Kluyveromyces lactis: one gene and its partners. The protein of the gene in region 2 purifies or fractionates together with the protein of the main gene of each other region. This does not show direct contact. Links are inferred from orthologs where the notes say so. Each region holds a gene or a part of one and is shown on either strand. Other genes may lie near its edges.

The links. Proteins that work in one complex are often made in the same cells at the same time.
Region 1: the proteins of POL1 (region 2) and CDC45 purify together in Saccharomyces cerevisiae (affinity purification with western blotting, with the first as the bait; 5 studies listed by BioGRID). This does not show direct contact. The link is inferred for Kluyveromyces lactis from reciprocal best matches to the Saccharomyces cerevisiae genes POL1 and CDC45.
Region 3: the proteins of POL1 (region 2) and PSF1 purify together in Saccharomyces cerevisiae (affinity purification with western blotting; 4 studies listed by BioGRID). This does not show direct contact. The link is inferred for Kluyveromyces lactis from reciprocal best matches to the Saccharomyces cerevisiae genes POL1 and PSF1.

Annotation. Positions count from the first base shown.
Region 1 is NC_006042.1:1,834,023-1,838,880, forward strand, and holds CDC45 (DNA replication initiation factor CDC45), read right to left. Parts: upstream 2,988-4,858; coding exon 993-2,987; downstream 1-992. Other genes in the region: KLLA0_F19800g (uncharacterized protein), read right to left, coding at 122-676; LCL2 (Lcl2p), read left to right, coding at 3,273-3,677; tRNA splicing endonuclease subunit SEN2, read right to left, coding at 3,852-4,858. UniProt on the Saccharomyces cerevisiae protein: Required for initiation of chromosomal DNA replication. Acts at the origin of replication. Also has a role in minichromosome maintenance.
Region 2 is NC_006039.1:1,127,573-1,134,268, reverse strand, and holds the start of POL1 (DNA-directed DNA polymerase alpha catalytic subunit POL1), read right to left. Parts: upstream 3,941-6,696; coding exon 1-3,940. Other genes in the region: SNAP receptor VAM3, read left to right, coding at 4,461-5,249; MET4 (Met4p), read right to left, coding at 5,401-6,696. UniProt on the Saccharomyces cerevisiae protein: Catalytic component of DNA polymerase alpha, which in complex with DNA primase (DNA polymerase alpha:primase) constitutes a replicative polymerase. POL1 has a role in promoting telomere replication during interaction with CDC13.
Region 3 is NC_006038.1:615,492-618,957, reverse strand, and holds PSF1 (DNA replication protein PSF1), read right to left. Parts: upstream 1,629-3,466; coding exon 993-1,628; downstream 1-992. Other genes in the region: protein-arginine omega-N methyltransferase HMT1, read right to left, coding at 1-590; RAD61 (Rad61p), read left to right, coding at 1,887-3,466. UniProt on the Saccharomyces cerevisiae protein: Required for DNA replication. Functions as part of the GINS complex which plays an essential role in the initiation of DNA replication by binding to DNA replication origins and facilitating the assembly of the DNA replication machinery.

The DNA.
Region 1 (4,858 bases), on a different chromosome or scaffold from region 2:
TATGCTATTTATGCTTGTCGCAGTCTATTTGCATTAGATATATTGGGATATTCCGCACTGTGGAATAATCTTGTGAGCTGTGAGGGATGAAATAGTCACAGGAGTTAATACTACTAGCCAGCTATTCAGTGTTTTCCTCGTACTTCCACGCCTCATTTTGGACAAATGCTGTTTGGAACTGCCGGAGCTGTTTGTATAGATCTTGAGATGAGTTCGAGTAATCGAATTTCGGACTTGTTTCTGGCATGTCATCATCCATTAAATCTAGCTGTTCTCTCCATAGCGTTTGGTAATACGGTACATTGAGCCTGGATTCAGGTATTGCTCTATCTTTATCAAAAAGTCTTCTCATGGCAACCTCTTGTTGTTGCAATTGATCCACTTTTGTCTTGTTTAGTATATTATCATGGAGTATGAAAGGTGACGGATCGTATTTGAAACTGAGAGTGTTTTCAGATATCCCTGGTGCCCTTTGTTTCCCATTCATATCCCTGTTTCTATTGCGTTCATTCTTGTAATTCAACGGAGTGTAGAGCGAAGAGTCGCTGAATACATTTGCCGATGTGCCCATCCCAACGTTGAAATCCTCATCTGTTGAGTGTTTGACATGTTTGATCCTGCGGAACTGCGGGCTTTTCCAGGGTGGCAGACGCGGAAGATCTATGTTGTGCTCCATGTATTAACTTAAGAGCCTGAACAGCTACAGTTGAGGGGTTGAAGGCTGGTTCTTGGCAACATTTTGCCTATAATTATGACAAATTATTGTGGGTATTTTAGAATGCTTACCTTTGACTGACATTTGTGGCATTGGTTTAATGATCACGTGATATCAATGGTAAACCTAACAGATTTCAAACAGCTTGGACATCCCATAGTAGTGTCAATTTCGAGGTATCTGATTAGATTGTTACATAATATATATATATATATTAGATTTAAAGCCGAAAGCTCACCTCATGATATGCCTAAATTAATATGTTTGTGTCTTCGTGCTAAATCAATCCGCTTAATGTCAAACGTTCAAGGAATGGTTGTAGATCGTCTTTCCTGATTTCAATAATTGATGTCTCGAAATTGTCAATCCTTACTTTGGCACCTGTCTCAGCTGCTATTTGTTGAAATGCCACTGTGAAATTATTTAAAGTTTTCTGCTGTTGTTGTTGTAAAATGTCCAACCCTCTTGGGTACCTTGGCGCAATCCCTGCACAAAGATATGTGTCAGAAGTCTCATCTAAAGTTGCCAATACCAGTGGAAGTAACTGTTTTTCGTCATTTTCTGCATAGTATTCAATGAGCCATGATCCCAGCCTCAATAACGTTAATGGATTTCTATATAAATGCAAATCTGGTCCATCTTGTAAAACACATAGCCTGTAAATCCTTAAATGTTTCACTAATCTTTTCTCCAGAATAGCGACTCCAGTTTCAAATACACTTCTTTGTAAAAATGTTGCATGCTTAATCCCCTGAGATAAAATATCCATATTATTGTCCAATACATCCCAACTTGACCAAAAATTTGCAATCCATTTTTTTTGCCTTGTCTTCAGTATTCTGTTAATTTTTTGCTCTTCAGCTTCTTCGTACTCCCTATTCTCTTCATCACCTTGGTTCGTATCATCTTTTTGAGATACATTAGCTGTTGTCAAATTTTCTAGTGCGTTTGAAGCATTGCCAACTTCAAGTAAAGCGGTTATCGATTCGACAAATTCACTGGCACTTATTGATCCTCGGTAACCGAAAGTTCTCAAGAACCCATCTCGTACAATATCTTGTAACCCGTATCTATCGAGATTTTTATCGAAAAGTACGCCCAGATCTCTCTTGAAATTATTGTCCATATATATCCAGTTTTCCTGTGTAACACTCAGCGGAATACCCATGCGTGCAAACATTTTATGCAGTCTTTTCTTGCCATTTTCATTCCACAGTGACAGTTTGGCGTTGACGTAGTTAGAATAATAAAAACTATCATATAAGGATGTATGCCTCAGAAGGAATAAACTGTAATCGGGACGAATCTCAAGATTCAAAGAATCTGGCGTTTTAGTTTTTTCACTAGGTGTCAATCTTTTTACTTCATCTTTCAGAAGTGGTAATAGTCGATTGTATACCAACGGGAAGGAATTATCCAAAGAGGACACTCCTAGAATGCATAACCATAAATAATCTAGATTTGTCTCACCAATACCAGACAAAAGAGAATATATCTGAACTGAAAGGGAGTTCAGCACCGTTGATCCCTGTGAATAGTACTCCTGTAACACTTTTTCTAAGTTGTGAAACTCTCGCTTTCGTTGTTTATGTGATTTTTTTGGATTCAATTCATCGCTGGACCTTTTACCCAATACTACGTCATCGTCATCGTCATCGTCATCGTCATCGTCGTCTTTATCCTCATTTTGCGTTTCCCTGTCATCTTCCTCTTCCTCGCTATCACTGTCATCGTCCAATTCATCGCCAAGTTCGTTCTCTATCTCTATAAGTTTGTAGTATGCTTTCTTTTGCTCTGTCAAAGACTCTTCGACTGTTCCATCATCGAAACAGGTTATGCACTGTGAACCAAATAAATTATCCAAATTCCACGGTCTATGACAATCAAGCACAAATATCTCCTTCTTAAATTTCTGAACAACGTCAGTCTTATCTAATTGAATCTCATCTAATGGACCCTGCGTGTTTTCTTGTGGATCAATCTCTAAAAAAGATTCAAGATCTACCATCCCTCCACAACCTACAAATATAACGCTATTGATATTTTCGTCCAGTCTCTGATAGTGATCCTTCAATTCCGAATAACCAAACACGGGAACTAACTGTGATTGTACCAATTGCTTCTTGAATAGACTGGATAGCATCTTCGATGCACATAACGCGTCAATGTTTAAACACGAAACAAAAATCACCAACTGACATGAAGAATGAGAACTGCATCGGTGAAGAATTTTATCATAAGCACCCACAAATTCAGCAATGCCAATATACATCCTCTACCTGGCACTTTGATGGCCTGCAGTGGTTTTGTTTGCAGTCTCTTTTCCCTCGTGAGCTAGTCATCTCATGTATTTACATAAATTTCTTTAAAATATTGGTTTGGAATACTTACACGTTTAAAGATTTTTGGAAAATCGATTACTTGTCATAAATGGCATACATGCGAAATATTCGAAATATTCGAAGAGATGCCAAGATTTACAAGACTATAGGTACTAAACACTGCTATCTGATATTTCATATTGCAGTATTACGAAATACGAAGATCTTAACTTACTATGAAACTACTGGGAACAATAATTGGTTCAGCATTCTTTTTACAAGCTGTGTCTGGATTCTTTTTCGATTCAGGTCACCAGAATAGACAGCAACAGCAGCAACAGCAGCAACAGCGGGATGTTGGCTCTTACCAGCAAATGTTCCTAGATAATGACTGTCCGCATTATTTATGTCCACAGACATTGGATTGTGTGAGACAGAAGTCGGATTGTGCGTGTCCGTTCCCTAATTCACAATTGAAATGCAATCTACCCAACGGTCAGGTAATTTGCATCTCAAAGCCAGCAACACATGATCCAACACTGGTAGAGATTTATGATGATCCAGTAATGGGACCAGCTCAACGTACTGAGGGATTCAGAGATTGTGGATGGATCTTGGATGTATATGACGGCAAGATTTAGAATGAGAGATCTTTCTTTCTGTATCGGCCATAATACTATTACAAACATAAACTGATAATATATATAGAGACATATAATACAGACCATTACTGTATTTAATGCAATTAACTAGCATGGGTTTATTTTTACTCGTTTGAGTTCTTCGCGGAAAAGATCGTTACCGGTTCGGAACAGTTAATCTCTGTTCTTACCTGCAACCCATCTTTTGTATAACAATTCATGGATTTTAAAGTTTCTGAAAAGCTCATCGTACTTTGATTGCTTCCAAAGTTCCATTAAGTCATCTTCAGGTATGAGTTGTTCAACGTAGCATAATACAAACTGTTTCTTGGCTCCGCCCACGACTCTGGCAGCGCTTGAATACCAAGTGTAATCATTTGACTGGTTTGCATCCAAAACCATGATTCCATACTCCGCATGTTGGAAAGGGGGTCCTCTTCTGTATAATAAGTATTCGCAACCAAATTTTATCCCCGATCGTACACACCACCCTTTGGACCTGTAATGATGGTACGCGACATATTGATGAATTAATTTCTTGATGTCTTGGAAACTTTTCGGTTCCAGTACCAACGAAACCATTAATTGTTGCAATGTGATCTTCAATACCGGCACTGCATAAGAGAGGAAAATAGCCTCGACGGGCATCAATTGCAAGCTTTCTAGTTGAATCACTGATTTGCCTTCTATTAATCTTAAATCTTCGTCACGTATTTGCATCGAGTCCTTTTCAAAAGCTAATTCTTTATCTCTTTGATTCTTTAAGAATAACCTTTCTTGTTCAATGAATTGTTCGTCTACAATCCCCTTTTGTCTCATTTCTAACTTCTTGGCTTCAAATTCAGCTCTCAGTTTCTTGAATTCGAGCCGCTGCCTTCTTCTAACGTCTGTAACATGCTCTAAGTTGATTCGATCAGCATCATTTAGTTGCAATCGAGACATTGTTCTTGCCTGCCAGTTGGGTTCACTCCGAGATAGTTGACCAGTACCAAAGAATCCGTGTTCCCATAAATACTTCATCTGCCATTGATCACATACCAAAATTTGACCTAATTGGTTGATCTTGACGTCAATAATTCTGGTTTCACTCCATCTCATCGCCCAATCTAATATCCAGGAAAATGCCTGAAAGGGATGTTTCCATACAGACGGTACAGGCTGCGCCTCTATAGGCAACGCAT
Region 2 (6,696 bases):
ATGTACTGTCATCGCAAGCGACCCATCCAGCATAATATAATGAAATATGGGCCCTTATGATTCTTTCTAATTGTGAAGTGACTTGTATTGGGGTCATTATGTGATTACAGTTGGAACATTGGATACCGGAGTAGACAAATCGATACTCTTTGGATGCTACAATACCACCGTATACAAATTTGGTATCACAATTCGGACATGTTAGCTCAAGTGGAACACTGTCTCTGAATCTCTCCTCATCTGAAATAGTGGTTTCCAATGGTTGCAATGTGTCCATACCCCTACCATTTAGCTCTCCGTTGGCTCCACCGCGATTAATGTATTTTCTACTGTCGAGACCAAGCGCCTCACTCAGTCTAATTATGTCAAAACTCTCAATCCTTTCCAACAATCTTTGTACTGGAGAAAAGATTTGTTTTCCAAGATAATACACAGGATCTGGTTTCAATCCGTTTTTTTTATTCATTACTTCGTTTAATGCTCTAGCTCTCTCAGCCACATTCGCCTGATCAGAATCCTGGTCTGAATCATCGCTACCTTTAGTGATGACAAAAGTTATGACAGAACCAGCTTTAACTACCCTTCCTGCCTCTCTCATTCTTAAAGCAACTTGAACTGCTGGCATATTCTTACCCCCAGGATATGACTTAGGATCCTTAGAAAGCCTGGTATTAATTTTGTATTTGTCCATTCTAATCTCGTTGTTCTCTACTTTTTGACGTATTTCTTCCATATATGCGTATATCTCCTGTAAAGCACTCTCCGAGTCCTTATCAGAAAGAAGAATATTTAACACTCGAGTTGAGACTTCCTTTGACAATGGACAGAATTCACGACGTTTCATATCTAAACCCTTAACTTCAAGAGTAGTTTTCTCATTGTTTTGCTTGTCAAAAGTAACATTCAATGCAGCATACTTTTTCTTAGCATGCAACAGTAACCTTTTGAAGATGTTATCAATGTCTATTTCAAGCAAACTGTATCTTTCATTCACCAGCTTTTTAAAGTTTTCACCAATTTTGATTGCATCCATGTAATTGTCACAGCCAGTACTGATCATGACCGAATCGGTATCACCGTACACAACTGTTAGACCCAGACTCTCCGCTAATTGTCTTGTGTTCATGAGAATTTCTCTCCCCTTATTTGTAACTAACATTGCTAACGGTTTAGCATAAAATCTACTGTTCACATAACCCAAACAACCATACATAGAATTTGCCGTAAGCTTCAAAGCTTGCTGCCTGATATCATATTGGGCTTTTTTACTTGCGTCATTTTCAGTCTTCATTAGATTTTTCACTTCTCTACGTCTTTGGACCAGGTTGGCCAATAATCTTGGCAGTACACCTCGTGATTTTTCTCTTGAAGGCACATCTGGAAGTTCTTCATTATCCTGTGGATTCCTGTCAACAGTAGTGAAGCAAATATTAAACTCTTGAATGATAGATGGGTACAACGAATTGAAATCCATGACCAAGATATAGTTTTTATGCAAACCTTTTTCTGGTTCAAAGACCAACCCACCCTGATATTTTGATTTTTTACTGGACACTTGTGGCTCCATAGGATCTTCATTCTTTTGTTGTCTGTCTTGCTTCATTTGCCTTGTTTCTTTATCAGGAACAATGTAATCATTTCTGTTAAATTCATGAAGCAAAATATATTCATTTCTACCAGCTCTTGTACCACCCAAAGTCTGTCTCCATCCATTGCCTGCTAAATTAGTCAGTTGTTTGGTTAAAGAGAGAATTTGAATGCGGAATGCAACTTCTGCTGTTATAATGGAGTTTTCGATGTTTTCGCCTAGCGCTAGAAGCATCTGGGATTCATCTTCCTGATATATTGGGTTTAGGTAATTAATTTCGAGAGATTTTCTTTCAATACCGCAGGAAACTTGATACATTTCGTTTAGTTCCCAATTTTGACATTTTGGAGTTAGTGACTGACCCATTTCATTGGAAATGTCACATAACAACCTACCTGCAAATAAATCCCTAACTATGAACTGTGTCATACTATTATTATGTTTTCCAAACTTGTCTGGCCATGCTTTCCGCAGTCTTCTCCCAAAGACACTAAATTGAGGAATATTTAACTCATAAGCTCTGTGTGCCAGAACATCCAAGATGACACCTTCCAATCTATGTCCTATTATAACATCAGGATCATTTACCTTCAAGAGAGCACAGAAACAGTTTAATAACGTCTTTTCGTTATTGAAGAGACGCACATTTCCGGATAATTCTTTCTTTGATTTAGGTCCCAGAAGAGGTGGAAAAGTTGATCCTTGTGGAGGCCTTACTAGTGTCACTATTTCATTTGGTTTGAGATTTTGTGGAATTGATGAATCTTGAGATAAATTTTTGAAGACAGCCATACTTATAGCAACAATTTCCTGCTTGTTTTCTTTTGCATTCATGACGGTCTGAATAGACAATGATATACAGTTCAAGCTCGGAGATGATTTTTCATTCGTTGCTGAGATATGATTAGGTGAATCAATTTGAACCTCAATAGCACAATGCGAAGCGCCTTGAACTGCATCAAAATCGCCATCTGATATCTTAAGCCAGCAAGGGCCCATGATTTTCCTTTGGACAACAAAACTCTCAAAAAGGTTTTGGTTACCACCGAAGACGTGACTGAATGTATCTCCCTCAAGTTCAGCGGGAATAGTAATTGACTTGCATTTAGGAGTATCATAAGGTAACAAAACCTTCAAATACTCCGCTTCGTGTGGTATTCCTGGAAGTTCAAAGGCATACTTTTTCGTTTCAGGCTTAGCGCGAAGTGATTGTAAGCCATATTTATCCAATAATAGAGGTACAATTTCTTGGTGGACATCAGACGCTGTTTTACCCTCCTTAGGTAGAAAATACAGCTCTCTATTGAAACCATTGATTTGCGCCATTGCAGAGACTACTTGATTCTTTCTCGTTTTAACTTTACCAAAGAGAATCAAAGAAGAGTTGACTTCGGTAAAATCAGTCCAAAAAAAGTTAAAACTACCGGTCTCAGCGTCTACTACATCCTCTTTAGGTATTCTTTGTCTCAGTGATCCGGAAATTGATTCTGTTGCTTGTGTGGACCCTGTAGAAGTTGACAATGGGGTGTTAGGAGCAGTGACATATGTTGGCGAAGACGTTAATGGTGCTGTTTGAGCGCTGATATTCATCTGCCTTTGAGTAGCTATTGATTTGAATTTTTTTCTACCAAAGTGAATATCATCTTCGTCATCTTCACTGTCATCTTCGCTTTGATATGTCTTCTGCTTGCTCATTGAAGGAGAACTAGCCACATCGTTTAATAATGATTCAATATCGTGGTCCTCTTCCATTGAATCACAATCGATAGGATTAACGCTATCAGCTTTAAAAGGTACAACATCTTTACCTTTAAGTGGGGATGTATCTACCTGAGGGTGTTTATAGTTCATAGGCGTAGTATTTGCAGGTTGTTTTCTGGATATCGTTAGCTTCGGCTTCTTAACCAGAGGCTCTGCGTCAAATTCACTCAAAATATCATCAAATTCAGCAAGTGACACTTTCTTAGGTTTTTCTGTTGGCATTGTCATTTTTCTCTTGACATTTTGTTGCTTTATGATATCGCTGATGGTATCCTTACCTTTGTTATTCTTACTGGTCTTATTACGCTTTTTGCCTGACTTTGCATCAACACCATCGTCTTCATCAGAGTAGAACTCCTGACTTTGATCCCATTCATCTACACCACGATCCACATATCCACTGCCATCATCATCTTCAACAAAATCATCTCTTAACAACTCTTGTCTTTTCTTACTCCTATATTGATCCTCGTCAATCAAGTCATACACATTTTCTTCTTCCAGTTGTTCATCTAGCACATCCCTATTCGATTTATTATTCCTAGCTTTCTGCAATTTTTTGAGCAGTTCAAGTTTGTTCGCATTACTCATCCCGAGCTAGTGTTTTAATAGTGTAGGGTGGCAGTACGAACTACCCTAGTAATTTAGTTTTGTTGTCTTTCCTGGTTTGAGTTGCAAGAAGAAGATGATGAAGATGTTCTTACTTTTACGCGTTCTTTTTTTTTTTAAAGTTGTATCTATCTGCAAAGCACGCGTTCGAAATCTATGAACTTAATGGCACCAACGCTGAGACAAAGCGAGAGTGCATGAGAAGAAAAGCGAGCGAAAGATTGAGTGACAGTAGAATACCGACAACACTTGAGTGGTTAAACGGTGAAGCCGCTGAAGTGTTAGAGAGTGTGCGCTCCTCAATATTATGATACGAATTTCCATTAGTTGAACCAATTGGCGTTGGCTTGGAAAGAAAAATGGATCACATGACCTGTGGTTTAAGACTGTCCTCAATTTTAAAGTGCTCAAATTGAGGTTTGTGATCATTAACTGAAGGGAAGGATAACTGTTAAGGAAACAGCTGATAGCAGGACCCGTAAAGATAATCGCGTTACATCTGATGTCCTTTTATCAAAATAGTACTCCAAAAAAGGAGGACAATCGTGCAGATTCTAGTGGAAACGATGCGGTGCCTTTGTTGATAACACTAGAACAGAATATTCAATTACTCAAGCGTAAAGCTCATCTAATAGGGACAAGCAAGGACGGACAACTATTGAGGGTTGATATAAAAAATAGAGTAATCCCCGAAATCCAGAAAATTAGTCGAAAACTGGCTGACTTAACTTCGCTAGATACACAAGATAAATTTGCTCGAGATTTTCAAGCGTTAAGCAAACAATATAACAGTGTAAAGACCGATTATGAGAATAGGGCAGTACAGAATCCCATACCTGACGAAGAGAGTAAAGATAATGAATCGGAACATCTCGTATCGCAATATGAAAGCATGCCAATACAAGACGATATCGAGAGGAGGGATCATTCTTCAGAGGATACTCCGTTACTTTTGTCTACCCAACAGCAAGAGCCTTTGTTGAATCAGGATGAGTTAGATTTTCACACGATAATTCAACATGAAAGATCCCAGGACATATCAAAAATCCACTCTGCTGTGCAAGAGGTCAATGCCATCTTCAAACAACTAGGAAGTCTGGTACAGGAACAGGGCGAACAAGTTGACACAATTGGCGAAAATGTGACAGGATTATCTAATAATTTGCAAAAGGCGAACAAAGAACTTCACAAAGCAAATGAATATCAAAGGAAAAAGAACAGATGTGGTACAATACTTCTAGTAGCTATTGTTGTTATCACTCTAATAACTCTTATCGCGATTCTATCATAGGGTTAGATTCTACGAGGAATGTAACTATATATTAATACAAAATTTATCTCTGGCCTTATACTTGGATGAAAGTTACGTTACGTTTTAGAGAACACGCATCATCAGGTAAATATGTCCGACTTAGAGGTTACAACTAATTATTAATCATAGCTTACTTGTCAGTATCCTTTTTAGTGCTTTCGGAGGAGTTATTTTTGGATAGTTCATAAGACTCAACATTCTTGAGATCTCCACGTTCAATGACAAGATTTTTGAGAAGTCTGTTTTCCATTTCAAGGGTATTGATTCTTTGCTTCAAGTCACAAGCTAACTGTGAAAGATCTTGGACCCAAGTTTCCATTTCTTTCTCTTTAAGTTTTTTAGTTTGATCCAAGTTCGGCAGTTTGGGTCTTGAAGAAAGGGTTGAGGAAGTGGACGACGATTCTACACCATCACTGGAGGAATTGTTTTTATCAGAATCAGTATTATGCTTTTTTTCGTTTATCTTCTCATCGAGACTCTTAGCAGCATTTTCCTTGTCATTGAGAAGTTCTTCCGATTGTCTCACCTCTTCCTTCAATTTAGCAGACGTTACATCCTTCCTAAGAGAGGAAGCTGATTCTAGTTTCCTGACAACTGATTTTGGTGTTTTACTGATACCATCATCCAGTGTTTGCTTTGCAGAATTCTCTTCGCTTTCTTTCTTTATGTTGTTAGAAATTGAGCCGTGGTGCACTTTCGGTGAGTTTTTCATATATGTATCAATAACTCTAGACTCTTTTTCCACTGGAGTTTTTTTGGCTCTTTTTGGATTAGGTTTATGGACACTTGATTGAGGAGATGGCTCAGGTTTTTCATGCAAAAAATCCAATAGCATGCCAACGGAGCTTTGAATATGTTCTTGAGGTTCAGGAACCAGTTGATTTTGCGAATTCACATCTATCGATGAGCCCAGATGGGAAGCTGACGATGGTGGTCTATTTGTAGAGTGATTATTTAAATTAGTTGGCTTCCTCACAGGAGGATCAAACTTTTCTCTTTCTCTTTCATAATAAGCCATAATAGCAGCTATGGCGTCAATCTGTTCTGGTTTAAAGCCAACATTACGCAAAGACTGGTAAGCACCTCTGGGAACATTAATGATAGGCAACAATGATACCAAAGTCGCAGTTTGTATTGTAGAGTAGTCTGGCATCTGTATATTTGATTCAAATCCTGATGTTGCAGCCGTACTTGGACGATACGGATTTTCGTTGCTATTGACATGATTATTACCATGGTTACTAGCTGTGTTGACGATTGAAGAGGCAGACGATACAGTGGTATTGGACGGATATGACATTGAAGTTAAATCATATGCGGCTAATAAATTTGTTAGTGGGGAAGTGGCAAACGGCATATCTCGTTGGCGGTTTGCACTTGTGCCATTTAGGTTGCCTGTATTATGACTATTGGATTGGTCTTGAAC
Region 3 (3,466 bases), on a different chromosome or scaffold from region 2:
AATGGTGAGTAATCGAACCCATAAACGTCTTGCCAAAAGTTCAGCTTTTCGCCCTTATACTTAGAATCTTCAAGACCAGCAATGTGAATGGAACACTTGTCAGGGAAGATCAACCCACCTTCGACCAAGTAGTTATCACGTGCATACAACACGGTATCCAACATGGATTCGTATAATAAGAAGTAACCCATCCATTCGGAAATAATGATATCAACCTTCTTATAAGGCAACACAACGTCTTCCAATTTACCACGTAACAAAGTGATCTTGTCTGAAAGACCATTCAATTCAACAATTTGCTTAGCCATTTCAATAATACTAGACATATCAACACCAATGACATGCTTAGCACCGTTCTTTGCAGCAAACATAGATAGAATACCAGTACCGCATCCAACATCTAGGACAACCTTACCTTTAAAGAAGTCCTTATTTTGGGCTATAGCGTTACGGTACGAAAGCGTACGCACAGTATCTTGCAACATCTCTTCATGAATACCGAAATGGTCATAAGAGGTGAAATAGTGTTGTTCATACTCGTTCAATTCTTTTTTCTGCGTAGCAGAATCAGTGACATCAGTCTTGGACATCCTTTATTTTATTAGCTTTACAATTAGGAAAGATATGCTCAACAATTAGACTAAAGATGAAACACAAGTCTTGGTATATGTATGGTGACAAATATTATATCCCAATAAGCTGTACACTATACTCAATGCAATCAAACCAATAACCGTTCTAACAAGTTGGTTCCAGATCAAGTACTGTTCTGTTACTTATGCCTCGTTGCCTTAAATACAAAACTGAAAAATTTTTGAAGGCGATGAGCTGCAAGAAAAAGAAATCCAAAAAGAAATCGTGCATTCCCCATAGTGAAAGTGAGGTAAAGCTAGTTAGTTGCATTTGGAACGGTTGCATCAGCAATATCACCAGCAATGATATCTACAGAATTGCAATGAAAGGTGCAGAATTCGGCGAAAAAAGCTGCCTTGCTATATCTTCTGCAGATATCCTTGTTGTATAAGTCTTTCGACGTCGGATTGTCTGACGAAAAATTGGGAATCTTTAATCAGGTTGAATACACCGTACTCTGTTTCTATTTGTCCTGCATCTTTCAATACTCGTACGTCGATGAACACATCGCTCGGCGGTTGTAACATCCCAGTCAAATCGATTTCTGAGAGTTCTCCCGATTTCAATTCGGTAAGTAGTTGTGCATACTCTTTGAGATACTCTTGTTCTGCATGTGATAAAACAGAGGAATCAAACGATGATAGATTCGGGTGGTTTGATATGGCAGAAGAAAATTCCATCCCGTTGTTATCCCAAACCATTGAGTCTAGCATCTCACTTCTCATCTTTTGGTATGCTAATAGACATCTTTTGTTTCTTTCCATCGAAAGCATAGCAACGACGTACTGGCATTGAGCGACTTTGTTATCCTGATCAGTAAGCTGCTGTTCTCGTAGGTAATCCACGTTCTTCTTGAGGGATCCAACCTCTTTCAGGATGCCACGGACTAGCTCGTCTTGATATACTGGTAATTGCTGTTTGTTGAATCCAGCTTGAGATAACTGTTGCGTTCTCTTTGCTTCTAGTATCAACTTGTTAGCGAGATCTCCGTACATTTTCGGTACTATGGCAATGATAATCAAAACCAATGACTTGAATCCAGTTCCAGGTCTTTTAGCACGTTCTTTTCCCTCTGTGTTATCTCTGTAAAAGTTGTTCATAGCTTTTCTCTTCTCTAGATTGAAATCGCTTTGAGGAAAACACGTAAAATTTAAGGACTTTAACGTGAAACGATACTGTTTAGACGCGAACAAATTACAACAAAGAAAACAAGGGGAAGCAAACCAACAAAGCCCATTGGGAGGTTCTGATAAATGAAGACGAGAGTTTATGGTCACTATGGGAAATTTCAAGCCTTGGCGAGGCGACATTTGAATAAAAAAGACAATGAGTTAAGCGATGAGGACAATTTCACTTCAACTGACGAGGAAGAAACAAGTTTATCAACAGATTTAGATAGAACTTATGAGACTTCTCCCATGGCTCCTGTCAGAGAAGAGTATGTGTCTTCCTCTCATAAATACGAGTCATTTGAAAACCGTGATTCAAAGACAATTGAAGCTGATCCATTCGATATTTTGGATGGTATGGGGTCGACATCTATGAAGAAGAAACGTAAAGTGACAAGGCTTCATAAACGAATAACAGTCGACAATGACGATATGAAAGATGTTGAAGAAGCTGTTGATAATGATTCTGAGATTCATGAGTTTCAAAGTACAATTGACAGTATCTCCTCGATGATTTCGTCATTGAAAGACTCCGACGATGTAATATCGACTTATAGCCAAATTCAATGTCTTAAAGTGGTCTCCACTTCAGCAGTGAGCCAGGTGAGATACGGAAGAACACGTACATTATTGAAAAAAGAGTTTCAAAGTGATGAAGAGCTACAAGAAGAAGCATCAAATGTCGATGAGGATGATGAAAATAATGAAGGTATTTTGGATGCTCAACATCACAATACTTCTTTTAATGATTCCAATTCCGTCATTCACGTTAATCAATTAAAAACACTCGGAGAAGGGCTTAAGTTCGAAGATGATCTGGATTTCTTACCATTCACTACTAGTGATGAAAAGTTATTTGTCGTAAAACTGATTAGCTGTTGTTTACTATTACTCAACAATACAGAGTTGACAAGTTATACTCAAAAGTATAAAAGCAATGAAGTATGGAACTGGTTTTTGCAGCAAATTAACCCTGAGAACAATGTCATGAGTTATTTACAACTTTGGATTGCTAATTTAGTACCACTGCCGCGAAGTGCCCCTCAATGGCAACAGTTATCACCTCTCCTAATGACTTGTTCCTCTCTTACAGAAAATCCAAAACTTATTGAGGGTTCAAAGATTACGAAATTAAACTACACGGATTTTGTTCAGCGGGCTGAAACAAATCCCCAAGATCTCACATTTACACTATGGGAGTTTCACCTAGACCCAAACAGTAATGAATTCAGTAAATTGATCGAGTCATTGAATAATCCTACGCCAAGGTTATTTGTTCTGGTTGAACAGCATTTAGATAAATTTATTACAGAAGAGATGATGACAAATTTATACCCAAAGATGTTATATTATTTATCCTCATATATTGAGGATATCTGCACTATCAAAATTATGGTAAAATTGACTAACCATGCATTTTTTCTGAGTCTACTTTCTCCATTGGAAAAGGTAAAAATTGTACGTGCTTGTCTCTCATACATCATTAAAGTGAGAGAAAAGATAGAATCAGAGCAGGATACTGACGACATTGTAATTCTTCAACTGGGTTTGGTGCTTAATATTGTGGCAAAAGATACAATCAAGATCGAAAATTCCATAACTCAGCAAATACAAGACATGATCGGACAGTCAAAGAGCGAAAGCTTCCTAAAACAATTACTGGC